Saccharomyces cerevisiae S288C: one gene and its partner. The protein of the gene in region 2 binds, or shares a complex with, the protein of the main gene of each other region. Each region holds a gene or a part of one and is shown on either strand. Other genes may lie near its edges. A codon is read from its position in the direction of its gene.

Region 1 (6,000 bases), on a different chromosome or scaffold from region 2:
CGAAAATTTCTTCCCCATCTTAAGTAAGTCGTCTATGAGTAGTAACAGTAACCTAAGCACTTCACATATGCTACTAATGGACGGACTGGATACCCCATCATATTTTAGTTTCGAAGATGAGAGAGGCAATCATCAGCAAGTAAGTGGAGATGAAGAGCAAGACGGAGATTTTACTTTCGTTGGTTCCGACCGAGAAGATTTACCCAGGCCCGCAAGAAGATCGTTATTCCCTTCTCTAGAGACTGAAGATAAAAAATGATACTACATGTGCATGAAGTATTATGAAAAAAAGAAGTATATATTCAGGAACCGAACGGCAACAACATCAATACATAAATCACAATCATCTATATTTATTGCATTAGATTAATCACATAATATAAAAAATTTGCATTTGAATACCGGGGTCACTTCTAAATTCATAAAAATAAGCTGATTTTCATTCTAAAATGGCTCTTTTGCTAATGCAGTCTCTACCGGTACTCAGTTTGAGATCCGTTCCCCACCTGGAGGGTGGCCAAACAATTGTTATAGCTTTCCCTATGACCAACCCACTGGAAATGGGGCCAAAAGTATTGCTATCAATCGAATGAAAATAATTGTCCCCTTCGACCCATATGTGTCCCCTGGGCAGGTTCACTTGAGGTTTAGGGTATGGAAACTTCGTGTCAATGGTATCAAACGGTAAACCTTTAACCCTTTTGCAGTAAACTTTCCGAGGGTTTGTAGGAGCTTTGAAAAGGATAATGTCATCTCTAGATAAATTACTTGGGTTCTTGACTCCAAACTTCCAAAGCAGCACCCAATCTGTTGCCAGCGTTTCCGTTTGCGGGTTCAGCGTAGGCTGCATAGAGGTACCTTTAACTTGCGCAATATGGACCACATTATTATTGATTGTTAGAAGTACCGGAACCCATGAAATTGCTATTAGTGTGTTTCGTAAGAATCTTTTTGATGATCCGGCTCGAAACATTACTGTACAGTACAATGCAACAGCTTCATGAATAGCAGCACGCCTTCGTTAACAAGCACCCATCTAGTCATTCAATTAAGGCACTTGTTTTTTCCATTTTTTTCAGTAGCTCGGAACTTAGCCTCGCTCTCCTTCCGAGCTTGATCTTCCACAGTATTTCGATGACATTGGTCTACCCGTAAGTCTGAGCTCCAACGAACAGCCAGAAGCTAAGAAAGCATAAAAAAGAACCGAACCACTTTAAAATCTAGCAAATTTTAACCTTCAATTATATAAAGAGAGATTTATAGCTTTTTATTGCCTGAAACCGTCTATGCTACCTGAATCACCTTCGCACCCTTTTCTACGATATATCCCAACTCTGACATAACTTGCAAAAAGAAGGAAGACACACATTTAATACACCTACTTAGTGCCAAATGAAGACTCAGTACTCTCTAATACGAAAAATTTGGGCACATTCAGTAACAGAATTTCTGAAATCCCAGTGGTTTTTCATCTGTTTGGCTATTTTAATCGTTATTGCAAGATTTGCTCCGAATTTTGCAAGAGACGGAGGGTTAATTAAAGGCCAATATAGTATTGGGTACGGCTGCGTCGCCTGGATTTTTCTCCAAAGTGGCCTGGGAATGAAATCAAGGTCACTAATGGCAAATATGTTAAATTGGAGAGCTCATGCCACTATTCTGGTTCTGAGTTTCCTTATTACCTCGTCCATAGTATATGGATTTTGTTGCGCGGTAAAGGCTGCTAATGATCCGAAAATAGATGACTGGGTACTTATCGGTCTAATTTTGACTGCCACTTGTCCAACAACCGTGGCTTCAAACGTTATCATGACTACGAATGCAGGTGGAAATAGCCTTTTGTGCGTTTGTGAAGTATTCATTGGAAATTTGTTGGGTGCGTTTATTACACCTGCATTGGTTCAAATGTTTACTAACCGCGCACCATTTGCATACGGCAACCCTGCCACTGGAAATGGCATTGGTGCGCTTTATGGCCGTGTTATGAAACAGGTTGGTCTCTCTGTATTCGTACCCTTGTTTGTGGGTCAGGTTATTCAAAATTGCTTTCCGAAGGGTACTGCTTATTACCTGGGCTTTTTGAAAAAATACCATATTAAAATTGGATCTTACATGCTTTTATTGATTATGTTTAGTTCATTCTCAACTGCCTTTTATCAGGATGCGTTTACTAGCGTTTCTCATGTTTGCATCATATTTCTCTGCTTTTTTAATTTGGGAATTTATATATTCTTCACGGGTCTGTCATACTTATGTGCAAGGCCATGGTTCATCCTCAAGCTTTTCCCTCATGAACCAATAGAGGGCAAATCTACAAGATTGTACCGCTATTCGTATAATATCTTTAGGCCTTTTTATTATTCAAAGGAAGATGCGATTTGCATTATGTTTTGTGGCCCGGCTAAAACTGCAGCACTGGGTGTATCACTAATTACTTCACAATACGGCGATAAAAAAGAACACCTGGGTAAGTTGTTGGTTCCCTTGGTTTTATATCAAGTTGAGCAAGTCATGACGGCAAATTTCTTTGTAAGCTTGTTCAAAAGATGGATACAAAAGGACGCTCAAGCAGACGGAAGCGAGTCATCTTGTGCAAATGAGAATGAGGAAGTTGATTTGGAAAAGATCATATCAATTGGAACTGGTGAAAATCAATCCGTTCTGTCGAACAACGTCCCATATACACAACCAAGGTGATATTTCCCTTGTTAATTTTGCATGAATTCTATATATTACATAACGTTTATGTATATATTTCCCATCCTCATTGGATGGAAAAAACTAAACAGCACATATTCACACGGATTTTGGATACACGAAGCATCTATCACGTATTCTTAAAATTGCACGTCCCAAAGAGCAGCCGGTCCTTTCATATTATACTTTTCTCTTGTGATATAAAATGTATCTTTAGGATGAGTGAAAATTTGCTTAGAAACAATTTGGGCACCCAAGAATATAATCTCTGAATATCCACTTTTCTTCCACTCAGGAAAGTAATCTGGATATTTAGCCAGTTTGATTACTGTAGGACACTGTACGTATTCTATAGTTGGAACAAATGCGGTGCTATTTGTCATAAACTTGCTTTTCTTTTTTGTTGCAGCTGGTAATACGGATTTCGCTTCCTCTTCTCTTTTTGACTTCTCTTCCTCTGGCTCTATAATTAAATGGTCTTTCAGTAGTTGACCCAGTAAAGCTTCTTTAAAACCTGAAATTGAAGTAGTGCCACCGACGATGATAATATTTTCCCAAACGGCTTTAGCTTTGTTAATATCATCTATGTTATCTAACGTCAATCCTACACGATTAGAAATATTCTTAATCAGGTTATTACATCCTTGGAATCTTTGCTTACCAACTTTAATTTCGTTACCTTTTTCATCCCAAAAAGTATTGAATTCCAAGTCGCTATTTTTAACATTTTTGACTTTTTGACCACGTTCTCTTTCCTCTAAAACTTCACGTGTATCACGACCACTTGTAATAATCTCGGCAACGTTTAAAGTTCCTTCATCCTCGTCCTCATTTTCGTTTCCAAAATCGAAACTTGATAGTTTTTTGGCGTCGTCACTGAGCACCTCAAAAATTGGTGATTTTTTCAATGATTCTATCTGATCATCGTCCCATTGAGGTAGTAGTTTTTTTAGAGAATCATTAATAGACTGTCCGCCCATTGGTATTGAAGAGACAAGATGGTCTAATTGTGCATAGTCAACAATAGGAATAATATCTGTATGATGTGTTCCAACATCAATAATACAACAATTCTGCAACGAAATCATAGAATAAGTGGCCGCTAAGGAAGCCGGCAATTGGATTAGATTGTTTATCTCAAGACTTTCGAAGACATATTGAGTAATAATCTCTAGATCCGATTGCGACCAAGAGTGGTGCGTAATCAGTAGAAGAGGAATATTAGATAATTCAGCTTCAAAAGCATCTTGATTTTTATTAGCTCTATCAGACAAAATAGATACAAATATTAGTCTAAGAAATTGTGTAAAGGCGCTTATGTCTATTATTTCACCATTTTGGATTGGTTTGATTAATTCGGCTTTATTATCCTTGTTCGTTGAATGATATGTGTAGGAACCATCTTGTCTCGTGGTCCGATAAATCTGTGTTGGTATTTCCAGCTCAGGTACAGTGAATGTTTCTTCATTCAAACCAAATTGAACGAGAGTAGTTTGAGATCTGGGGTATATTATCTGTTATGAATTGTTGTTAGTATAAAAGATTAACCAAAAACTGTTCGTGAAGACTTAAAAAATCCATTGATGAACTAAATACGTACCAAAATACTGTCCTGCCTAAATGGAGCCATATTCAATGCATATAGTAGTTGTTCAAGACACTTAACTTCGCGTGGTACATTTTTTCTAATTCCGCAATATTGTCAGTTTACTATTAGAGATTTATAATGTTGAAATTTGCTTTTAGCCACTGCGCGGAAATATGTAGTATTCGTAACAAGTGACTCTAATGATATAAACACAGTAGAACTGTCATTAGAGCACATTAAATAATATGTATATCTTATTGCGTCCAAATGAACATAAAAGTGGAAAGGGAATGCCTGACCTAACAATTATCGTGATTATTGTGTCAAAAATGGTAAAGAAAACTTTTTTTTTTTTTGAAAATATGAAGGAAAGACGTGATATTTTATGATTTTTAGTTACAAATCCGGAGAGGTGTCCTTCTCCCACGGCAGCGTATATCTTTCTATTTCTACTTAACAAAAATCTGACATTATACTTTTTTTCTTTTATCAGAAAACTAGTAAAATTGATATACATCGAGATCAAAGACCTTGATGCAGTAGCTGAATGAAATTATAGGGAATTAATCCTATCCTATGATTTCTATCTATACGGTCATTATCATAAACTTCACCTTTATACCAATCTTTATTAACAATCTCAGTAATTAGCAGATAGTCGCCCTTATGGAAATTCGCTAATCCAGGTGCCTCATTTCCAATCAATGGATACATGGCCTTGGCATATTCAATGACTGGAAAACCTTCACTGGTGACAATAGGCAAGGTAACAGTAATACCTCTATCCCTGACCACACCTCTCTCATCCATGATGTTTCCTGTTTTTGTACCTGGTTTAGAACTACTTTGGATTCTTTCCATTTCGTACAAGGCATCTTCAATTGGATTACTTGAATCTTGCATTATCATGGATTGTCTATGCGTGTGCCCCCTAGACGTTCCTCTTACTGCCACAGGAGGTTTGAACAAAATTGTGCTTGTACTGGTATCTCTCCTCGTGTTATAATCATCTTCATTGAGGTTGTGCGCAGAGTTAGGCGTTCTTCCCCCATCATCCGACCTCGAAGAAGCGGATGAGGGTACTTGCAAATGGCTCATAGATTTTCTTTTCCTATTTGACGAGTTCCATGATTTGGCAAATCTCTGTGAGTCGTCTATACTATTGGCCATTGAACTTACGGATGTAGTCATAGATTCCATACTTTGTCTCTTTTTGATGTGGCTAAAATCCGTTGGATTAGAAGAACTTGATTCTGATGGTGAGCTGAGAGATTGATTTCTTTTATGCACCATTAGACCTTTTTCATCAGGATTTTTCGAATCTTCATCAGGTTTAAGTTGTTCTTCCCCAACAATCGGCCTTGGTTTATCAGGTTTCTGCCTTAACACGGAGTCATCCACATTGCTCTGTAACTGGACGGGTGAAGACCTCAAAGATAATGTTGGGTTAGCAACCACTTTTGTCTCATTACGTATGACGGGTGTGGAATTTCTAAATTGTGTAGCCATGGTGACTTCTGGAGATGGCAATGGTTTCTCATATTTGTCTATTGAAGCTAGTTTCCTTTTATTTTCGGTTTCCTTCAGCTGAGAAGATAGTTTCCTTATATTGTCCATATACGATTCGGTTTTTTTACTTGTCGTGGAGATACTGCTCATTTGAGCCCAGTTGGCGCTAGAATTCATGTCACCTTTGGAAGTCTTATGTTTCAGTC
Region 2 (8,309 bases):
GAGGAAAACAATAGAAAATTATTTTAGAGCAATATACAACACAGCGTCGCTTTGCAGAAAAAAAAAAAGAAAAAATTCGACTGTCGCAGCCTCTTATTTTATGTCATTACAGTTAATTTATTAGAAATTAATTTTATAAATTTTGATTTTTTCTCATGCCTGTTTTTGATCGTGAGATGGGAAATTTTTTATGTAAAAAAGTAATGTAATATAGTAGTAAAATAAATAAATAAATCATTAATATTTCCTGTGCATTATTGTTAGTTTATTAGTAGATTAGTTCCTGCCTAAAAAAAATTTTGCACCATTGTATTATGCTTATGAAGATTCTCTTTCAAATTCCTTCGTCATGTCAGCATTGTCAATAGCACCGCAAACAGTTTCACACATGATACCTGTAACCAAGTATGGGTCGATGTTGGAAGCTGGTCTACGGTCTTCAAAGTAACCGTAACCTTCCTTGGCGACGGATCTTGGGATTCTAATTGAGCTACCTCTGTTGGCGACACCAGAAGAAAAGGCAGTCATGGAAGCGGTTTCATGTCTACCAGTTAATCTCATGTCGTTATCGCTACCGTACAACTTAATGTGTTCAGCGTGTCTCTTGGATAACTTCTCGATGGCTTGTTCGATGTATTTCATACCACCTGGTTGTCTCATTTCCTTGGTGGAAACGTTAGTGTGACAACCGGCACCGTTCCAGTCACCCTTCAATGGCTTTGGATGGAATGAGATCTTGATACCAAACTCTTCTGCCACTCTGTGCAAAAAGTATCTGGCCATCCATAATTGGTCACCCATGTCAATACCGGTACATGGACCGACTTGGAATTCCCATTGAGATGGCATGACTTCAGCGTTAATACCAGAAATTTCTAATCCGGCATACAAACAAGCTCTGTAGTGAGCTTCGATCATGTCTCTGGCATAAACCTTACCGGCACCAACACCACAGTAGTAAGGACCTTGTGGAGCTGGGTACCCACCCTTTGGCCATCCGTAAACATCGTCATACATGTCAAATAGAGTGTATTCTTGTTCTAGACCAAACCAGATTTCTTCATCCTTATGAGCAGCAAATAGCTTGGCAGCTTCGTGTCTGTGGTTGAACTTGTTTGGAGTACCGTCATTGTTGTAACATGCGGCCAAGACAACAATGTTGTCACCTCTCCTGAAGGGATCTGGGTAGTAAGCAACGGGTTTCAAATAGATGTCAGAGTCGTGGCCTGGCGCTTGGTTGGTAGAAGAACCGTCGAAGTTCCATTCTGGCAATTGGTCAATGGATGTGATTCTCTTCTTCAAAGTTCTACCTTTGGAACGTAAGTTACCAGTACCATCGATCCAAACGTATTCGGCAATTATTCTACCTCTTTGGTCCAGTTCTAGATATTTTTGTAAAATTTGAGTCTTTTCGATGCTTGCTTCAGCCATTTTTGATTATATTATATTATATTATGTTTAATTTTTGTTTCGGTTGAACTTCTTCTATAAATGAAATGAAGTTAATTTCTCACAAATATGTATGTGATTCTATAGTTATCTTTGTGTGATGTTCTTACCTAACGAAAACAAAGACAGAACAACCTACGAACCAACCAAGCCTGAGAATTCGATATATAGAATCACTCCCTTATATATTACAAAAAAAGAAATCTACAAACTAAAATAAAAACATGGCAAACAATATGCGTCGGAGTCATCTTTAATTCATTATCAAGCCTACTACTTACACCTGACCGCTTACACTAACAAATGAATTAATTTTTCACTCTTTTTTCATATTACTTTTCTTTTTTTCATCCTACTTTTTCTTTTTTTGTTTGTGTTTCGCTACACAGGACATCAATGCGGCATATCAGCCTACTCTCCTGCCAAAAATAGTGTACTATTTTCGCATATTTGGGGAATAATAATGACCACAAATGGCACTATGATGCGAAAAAAATTTTCGATAAAACACCGTCTGGCATCGTCTGTGCGGACCAACTGCTGTAGAAGACTTTTTTTTTTCTGCCTTCGCGAGCTTATCTTATCTATTAGGGGAGCGCAGTCATCAATTGTAAACAAACGTGCGAAGCGATCCGTAGTCCTATCCGGGTAACACTCATCGTCCGGCCTCCGCCCCCTTTTCCCCGGGAGAACCGTATGCGGGTACTGGGTTTAGGGGATCCTTGTTTTGGTTCTCGCGAGTGTTTTTCCGATTGCGAGATTTTATTTTCCCTTTCGCATCATCCGGACGAGCCAAAAGCGCCATTGTTCCGGCCGCACGTGCAGCGCATGTGTACTTGCGCACTTTTGTTTACTATTGTCCTGACAAACTGATTACCAAATGTCTTTGAACAGGTGGGACAAAGAGAGACAAAAAAGCGGCTATCATGTAGCTGGGACGATATTCCGCCGCCGGGTAGCGCATATTGAAAAATGGCTGTTTACAGTGGGCCTCACTAGCTTAGAGTTCATCTCTATATAACTATTTATACAGTTTTTTTATATTAGAATGGGTTCATCGAGTTATCGCGTTTGTTTATATGTCCCTCACTCAAAGTAGGGGGTGGACTGAATCTTGAAGGAAACCCGCTTACTCCTTACTGATAGCTACTACCGGCGCTGAGAAAAATGGGTCGAGATCTCATCTCCTTCTAGCCGCCTACAATCCCTTTTGGATATTTGCGCCTTACCACTAGTTTGTTGCGTTCGTAGCCTGCGACTGCTTTCTGTCTCTTTTCAGCGTTTCGTAATCTTCCTTAGAGTACCATTTTCCCAAGCTCCATGATGGCAGATTGGCCATTGTAAGGGCGCCCAGCCATCCCTGGATTTTACGGTCCATCATGACTTGGTTGGCAAAAGTTGTCAATTTGTATTGCGGGAACCTGATTGACAGCTCCTTTATTATGCGTTGCTCCATACCTTCGATCAGAGAGGTAGATCCTGTGATGATGACGTTCGTCAACAGTAGCGAGTATACTTGTTCTGGTGATATGTTGCTGCTGCTGGCAGTACTGTTATTATCGCCAACATTGGTGTTTATATGGCTTGTACCCAATCCGTTTGGGTTGGTGGAGGTATTGGCCTTCATTGAATTTATACTAGCGCCGGCCTTCTTGACTGATTTTGCCATTAGCGGTCCCAGTCCGTCCTCTGGTGAGAATTTGTCTGATATCAGTTGAGGTTTGAAGAGATACTCTGCGAATTGGTAGCACTCCTTAAGGTCCAAGGTTAAAGTCTTGTTTAATGGCTTGAATAGAAAATTTTTCTTTTGAACCAACGGATTGTTGGGGCTTCCCGTTAACGCCGTGTACTGAAGTTGCTGATCCATTTGTTTTAACTGCTCCTGTTGCTTAGCGTATATATCTGCTTGCTCTTTGTAATACCTTTCCAACTCAAACAAGTCCTTTTCGCTTACTTGCAACATAGTAGACTTGAATTGCTGAATCCACGTGCTTGCTTCGTACCAAACGTCGGTGGACCTTTTTTGCTCGTCGGCCATGTTTTCCATGTCGTTCTCTTCTTTAATCAGTGGAGCCAACCTTTCGTGTACTTGAAAATCCAAGAAATCACCGCCAAATTTAGATCTCACTACAGCATTCTTCACCACAATACCGTCAATGATGGGAGTAACGTTACAGCCTGACGCGCCGATATCAATCACGAATGCAGAACTCTTGCCCATGGATAGGGCAATTGCCAATGGCTCGATTACAATCTGGAATACTGGTACATTTAATTTGTCGAACGCCAGCTCATAGTAGCGCTCTAATATGGCCATGTCCGGTTTACCATTGGTGGCAGGCATCGTAATCACCAGTGGCAGTTCCTCGGGTGAAACTTTCAATTGGGTGTCGTACAGATATCTCCACTGCATCTCCAATGCGTCCCAATTGTACGGTAACCCTTGGCTATCTACCAATGTATACACCTCGTCACCATTGCGTTTTTCTGCCGCAGCGTCTATCATATTGTAGGTTCCGAATATAAACTCAGCTTCCCCCCCCTCATCTGTTCTTTTAATATAGCTAGAGGGTATAATGCATTGTGGCAATTCAACGTTACTAAATCCAGCCACCGTTCTGTGCGATCCGTTATGTATCACTACGCACTTCCTATTCAATGTCATTCTTGACAGATCCTTTATAATGTAGTAATTCTCGCGCTTTTGCTAATAGCCTACTACTCTGTTCTATCTCTCTTGTTTACCATTTTCCGCTTTGTTTTCTTGTTTGAGGTTTGCTTTATTTTTTCTTTATTTTCTTCGAAACGCGGCCATCATTTTTTTTTTTCAGGATCACTCAAGGTGAACAAGTCTAAGTATTGAAAGGTGTGAAGACTTGCCGATGATATACTTATATGAACGCCGTGATGCGTACGTCTTTGATGGAAATATTGTATATATCTCTTTCTTTCCTTATAATCACTGTTCTCTCTTGTGTAATAAGTAAATCTATTCGTTTCCGTGTAAGGCGATAATTTTTTTGTTTGAAATTTTTTATCAAGTTTTTTTTTTTCTTCAATTCTAACCAGCTCGAAGATGACTTATGGCCTTGATCGACCGGGCTTTTAAATGAGTCTTACGGCCCAATGTGTTACTTTAGAATAGTTCCTTTCTGCTCGTCTCTTGCTTAATGCTTAGTAGATCACTAAATAAAGTAGTCACATCTATAAAGTCGTCTTCGATAATCAGGATGTCATCCGCTACCGCTGCTGCTACTTCTGCTCCTACTGCTAATGCTGCTAATGCTCTAAAAGCTTCAAAGGCTCCAAAGAAAGGTAAACTACAAGTGTCTTTGAAAACACCTAAGGGTACGAAGGATTGGGCTGATAGTGATATGGTTATCAGAGAAGCCATTTTTAGCACTTTATCTGGCCTATTCAAGAAGCATGGTGGTGTCACTATCGACACACCTGTTTTCGAGTTAAGAGAAATTTTAGCAGGCAAGTATGGTGAGGACTCCAAACTGATCTACAACTTGGAGGACCAGGGTGGTGAATTATGTTCTTTACGTTACGATTTGACCGTTCCTTTTGCCAGGTACGTTGCCATGAACAATATTCAGAGTATCAAGAGGTATCACATTGCAAAAGTCTACAGAAGAGACCAACCAGCCATGACTAAGGGTCGTATGAGAGAATTTTACCAGTGTGATTTTGACGTTGCAGGCACATTCGAATCTATGGTTCCTGATTCCGAATGTTTGTCCATTTTAGTGGAAGGTTTGACCAGTTTGGGAATCAAAGATTTCAAAATCAAATTGAATCACAGGAAGATTCTTGATGGGATCTTCCAAATCGCTGGTGTTAAAGATGAGGATGTGAGGAAAATCTCTTCTGCTGTCGATAAGTTGGACAAATCTCCATGGGAAGCAGTCAAGAAGGAAATGACCGAAGAAAAAGGTCAATCCGAAGAAACTGCTGATAAAATCGGTGAGTATGTTAAATTAAATGGTTCTTTGAAGGAAATTCACGCTGTTCTATCCGCAGATGCCAACATTACTTCAAACGAAAAGGCTAAACAAGGTTTGGATGATATTGCTACTTTGATGAAGTATACCGAAGCATTTGACATTGACTCATTCATCTCTTTTGATCTTTCTCTTGCAAGAGGTTTGGATTACTATACAGGTTTGATCTATGAAGTTGTTACTTCTGCATCTGCTCCACCAGAGAATGCTTCAGAATTGAAGAAGAAGGCCAAATCTGCAGAAGACGCGTCAGAATTCGTTGGTGTCGGCTCTATTGCAGCCGGTGGTCGATATGATAATTTGGTCAACATGTTCTCTGAAGCTTCCGGCAAAAAATCTACTCAAATTCCATGTGTTGGTATTTCATTTGGTGTTGAAAGAATATTTTCTTTGATCAAACAAAGAATTAATTCCTCTACAACTATAAAGCCAACGGCTACACAGGTGTTCGTTATGGCTTTTGGTGGTGGTAAGGACTGGACTGGTTATTTACCCGAAAGAATGAAGGTTACTAAGCAATTATGGGATGCTGGCATTGAAGCTGAATATGTCTATAAGGCCAAGGCTAATCCTAGGAAGCAATTCGATGCTGCTGAAAAAGCGGGTTGTCACATTGCCGTAATCCTCGGTAAGGAGGAGTACTTAGAAGGTAAATTACGTGTCAAAAGATTGGGCCAAGAATTTGCCGATGATGATGGTGAATTGGTTAGTGCGGCTGACATTGTTCCTATTGTTCAAGAAAAGTTATCACAAATTCATGAAGATGGTCTAAATGAGGTCACTCGTTTAATTAAAGGATTATAAACTTGATAGCTCATGTATTTACAAACCTTCGTAAAACTAGACATGTATAATGAAAAATAAATCGATTCAAATTAATTTATAAAGCATATAGAACTAAAAAAAAATAAGTATAGAAGGAAGTTGCTCATTACCCTGTATGAATTAGTGTATGTATTTAAAAACCAAGGGCACCTTTCATTACATCTTTTCCAGTCTGCTCAACAGCCTCGTTCATTGTTTCTCCCATGGCGGTAGCATAGTCGTTGAATCTATCTTCAACGGCGTCCCATCTAGTTTCTACAGCTCGAGAAACATTTCTTAGTACCCCGTAACTACTGTTCCTGCCCTTACGGGTGGGCTTGGTATACTGGTGTTCCGGATGGTTCGCATTATTATCGTCTGAAGAACGCTCCGAGAAACTTCCCTCAGCAATGATGCTCTCTTTGTATTTGGATGCAGGTCTATTCACGCCACCCAATAATTCATTTAATTGAGCGGGAGTACAATATACAGTGCCTCTTGCCCACTGTAATGAATTTACTTGTGGCCTATAGGGAATCCTGATTCCATTGATGTACAGTGTGTCAGAAACTGGCGCTAGCGTATCCTGTTCCTTGACAGTAGAAAATAGTGACGCCTGAAATTCACTCACTCGAATCGCTATATCACCATTTCTTAAAACAGATGATTCTGTAATGTATTTTGCGGCAATTGGAAATGGAATATGTTCAGACATTTGTTCTTTGAAATCTGGAATAGTAAAAACTCTTAGATGGCCATTGATTTCTAATGTAATTATTACGGTTAGGTTCTTCCTATCATTATTTTTCTCAACGGTTGAGATGTAAGATAAACCTGTCGCGGCAAGCGGGTATTTGAAACCTTTATGTGTACTTTTAGATTTGCCCAGTGTTATTAATCTGATATCATCGAATCCAGTTATTAATACAATACCAGGAATGCAAAGGCCTTTACTTAAATTCTGCATTTTTGGAATAGTTGCCAAGCAGCTAGATTTTGTTTCCTTTGAAAATGCATCAATTTTGTGTATCGGACCCTTACTGGTAACATTAGTAATATCCATTAGTTGCACATCGAACTTTCCACCTGATGCAGGAAGAATTTTGTATGTGATTACCTCGCCCATATCAGTACCACAGACCATCAATATACTAGAGTAACCATCGTCTCCATACTCCATAATTACGAATTCGATGCAGGTAACACATGCGCTTTGAGCTCCCGAGATTTCTCTAATGTTTTCCATGTAAATGATTGCAGGACCTCTTCTATCGATCAACATAAGGCTTCCGGCAGCATATGCGATTCCAACAAATCCAATATTACTGTTGTTGATTGCAGATGTTTTCCCTTTGTTGGCATGCACGGCAGTTGATGGCATAAATCCCTGCCTAACACCGGTAGGTGCCCTGTCTCTCACATCGACGAGAACACCATTCGTATTATTCAAAGAAAACCGCCTGAAATTCATCTCCAGGTCACCGCTTTCTGGTCTGTTCTCAACACTGTAAAACTGGTTTACTTCATATTTGAATAAAACAACGTCTCCTGTTTCAATTGACACCGCCAACTCGAGAGTCTCTGCGGCAAAAGATATCTTATCAACTGCTAGTTCTTTGGCCTTGTTCAACGTTCTTGATAGATTCACTTCAAAGCTAGCATTATCTTGTATATCCCCATGGGAAGCATCGTATATCCTAACTGAGCCATTAGAATGGCCGGTAATGAATGCTGTACCGTACTCAGCGGGAAGTTTTTGCCTTTTTGTTCTAACCCCTCCCTTCAACAAATAATCCTTGTTTTGAGCTGCAGAAAGCGCACCAAGCCATAATTTGTTTGGTACAGAAGCGGCCATTGAAGTCGTGGCTAATGGTCTCAGCCAGGAAAGATTTTGAGGGAATAAAGAGGCTTTATCTGTAAATATTCCAGAAGGATATAGCATTGTTTCTATCTCACCGTTACCTAGGATTAACAAAATTAACCCCGGATTATGACATCCTGCAAAATACGGGGACTGTCTTGGAATTGGTAGTATATTCACTATTGGCA

The links. Proteins that work in one complex are often made in the same cells at the same time.
Region 1: the proteins of ARP7 (region 2) and ARP9 are in contact, whole or in part, in a crystal structure (PDB 3WEE), measured with the Saccharomyces cerevisiae proteins. Residues at the interface, in NP_015359.1 of Saccharomyces cerevisiae: Arg5 (codon at 4,102), Lys6 (codon at 4,099), Phe21 (codon at 4,054), Asn23 (codon at 4,048), Val24 (codon at 4,045), Leu26 (codon at 4,039), Pro27 (codon at 4,036), Gln28 (codon at 4,033), Cys29 (codon at 4,030), Ile30 (codon at 4,027), Thr51 (codon at 3,964), Tyr52 (codon at 3,961), Ile55 (codon at 3,952), Asp56 (codon at 3,949), Leu95 (codon at 3,832), Lys96 (codon at 3,829), Gln229 (codon at 3,430), Gln230 (codon at 3,427), Thr234 (codon at 3,415), Met235 (codon at 3,412), Asn289 (codon at 3,250), Phe290 (codon at 3,247), Leu291 (codon at 3,244), Lys293 (codon at 3,238), Asn296 (codon at 3,229), Lys297 (codon at 3,226), Thr298 (codon at 3,223), Cys306 (codon at 3,199), Met429 (codon at 2,830), Met430 (codon at 2,827); in NP_013747.1 of Saccharomyces cerevisiae: Ser118 (codon at 3,890), Ser120 (codon at 3,884), Gln121 (codon at 3,881), Ser122 (codon at 3,878), Glu125 (codon at 3,869), Gln179 (codon at 3,707), Leu180 (codon at 3,704), Asp181 (codon at 3,701), His182 (codon at 3,698), Leu183 (codon at 3,695), Val184 (codon at 3,692), Ser185 (codon at 3,689), Arg312 (codon at 3,308), Leu315 (codon at 3,299), Thr316 (codon at 3,296), Asp318 (codon at 3,290), Asn319 (codon at 3,287), Asp321 (codon at 3,281), Asp322 (codon at 3,278), Asp356 (codon at 3,176), His357 (codon at 3,173), Leu358 (codon at 3,170), Ile359 (codon at 3,167), Ile360 (codon at 3,164), Pro362 (codon at 3,158), Glu365 (codon at 3,149), Ile398 (codon at 3,050), Glu399 (codon at 3,047), Tyr400 (codon at 3,044), Val401 (codon at 3,041).

The regions. Positions count from the first base shown.
Region 1 is NC_001145.3:336,115-342,114, reverse strand, and holds ARP9 (Arp9p), read right to left. Parts: upstream 4,328-6,000; coding exon 4,298-4,327; intron 4,212-4,297; coding exon 2,838-4,211; downstream 1-2,837. Other genes in the region: putative tyrosine protein phosphatase MIH1, read left to right, coding at 1-259; IMP2 (endopeptidase catalytic subunit), read right to left, coding at 440-973; RCH1 (Rch1p), read left to right, coding at 1,393-2,697; YMR030W-A (uncharacterized protein), read right to left, coding at 4,512-4,802; formin-binding protein HOF1, read right to left, coding at 4,808-6,000.
Region 2 is NC_001148.4:635,330-643,638, reverse strand, and holds ARP7 (Arp7p), read right to left. Parts: upstream 4,115-8,309; coding exon 2,681-4,114; downstream 1-2,680. Other genes in the region: GLN1 (glutamate--ammonia ligase), read right to left, coding at 319-1,431; HTS1 (histidine--tRNA ligase), read left to right, coding at 4,620-6,260; Rab GTPase-binding protein SRO7, read right to left, coding at 6,415-8,309. UniProt on the Saccharomyces cerevisiae protein: Component of the chromatin structure remodeling complex (RSC), which is involved in transcription regulation and nucleosome positioning. RSC is responsible for the transfer of a histone octamer from a nucleosome core particle to naked DNA.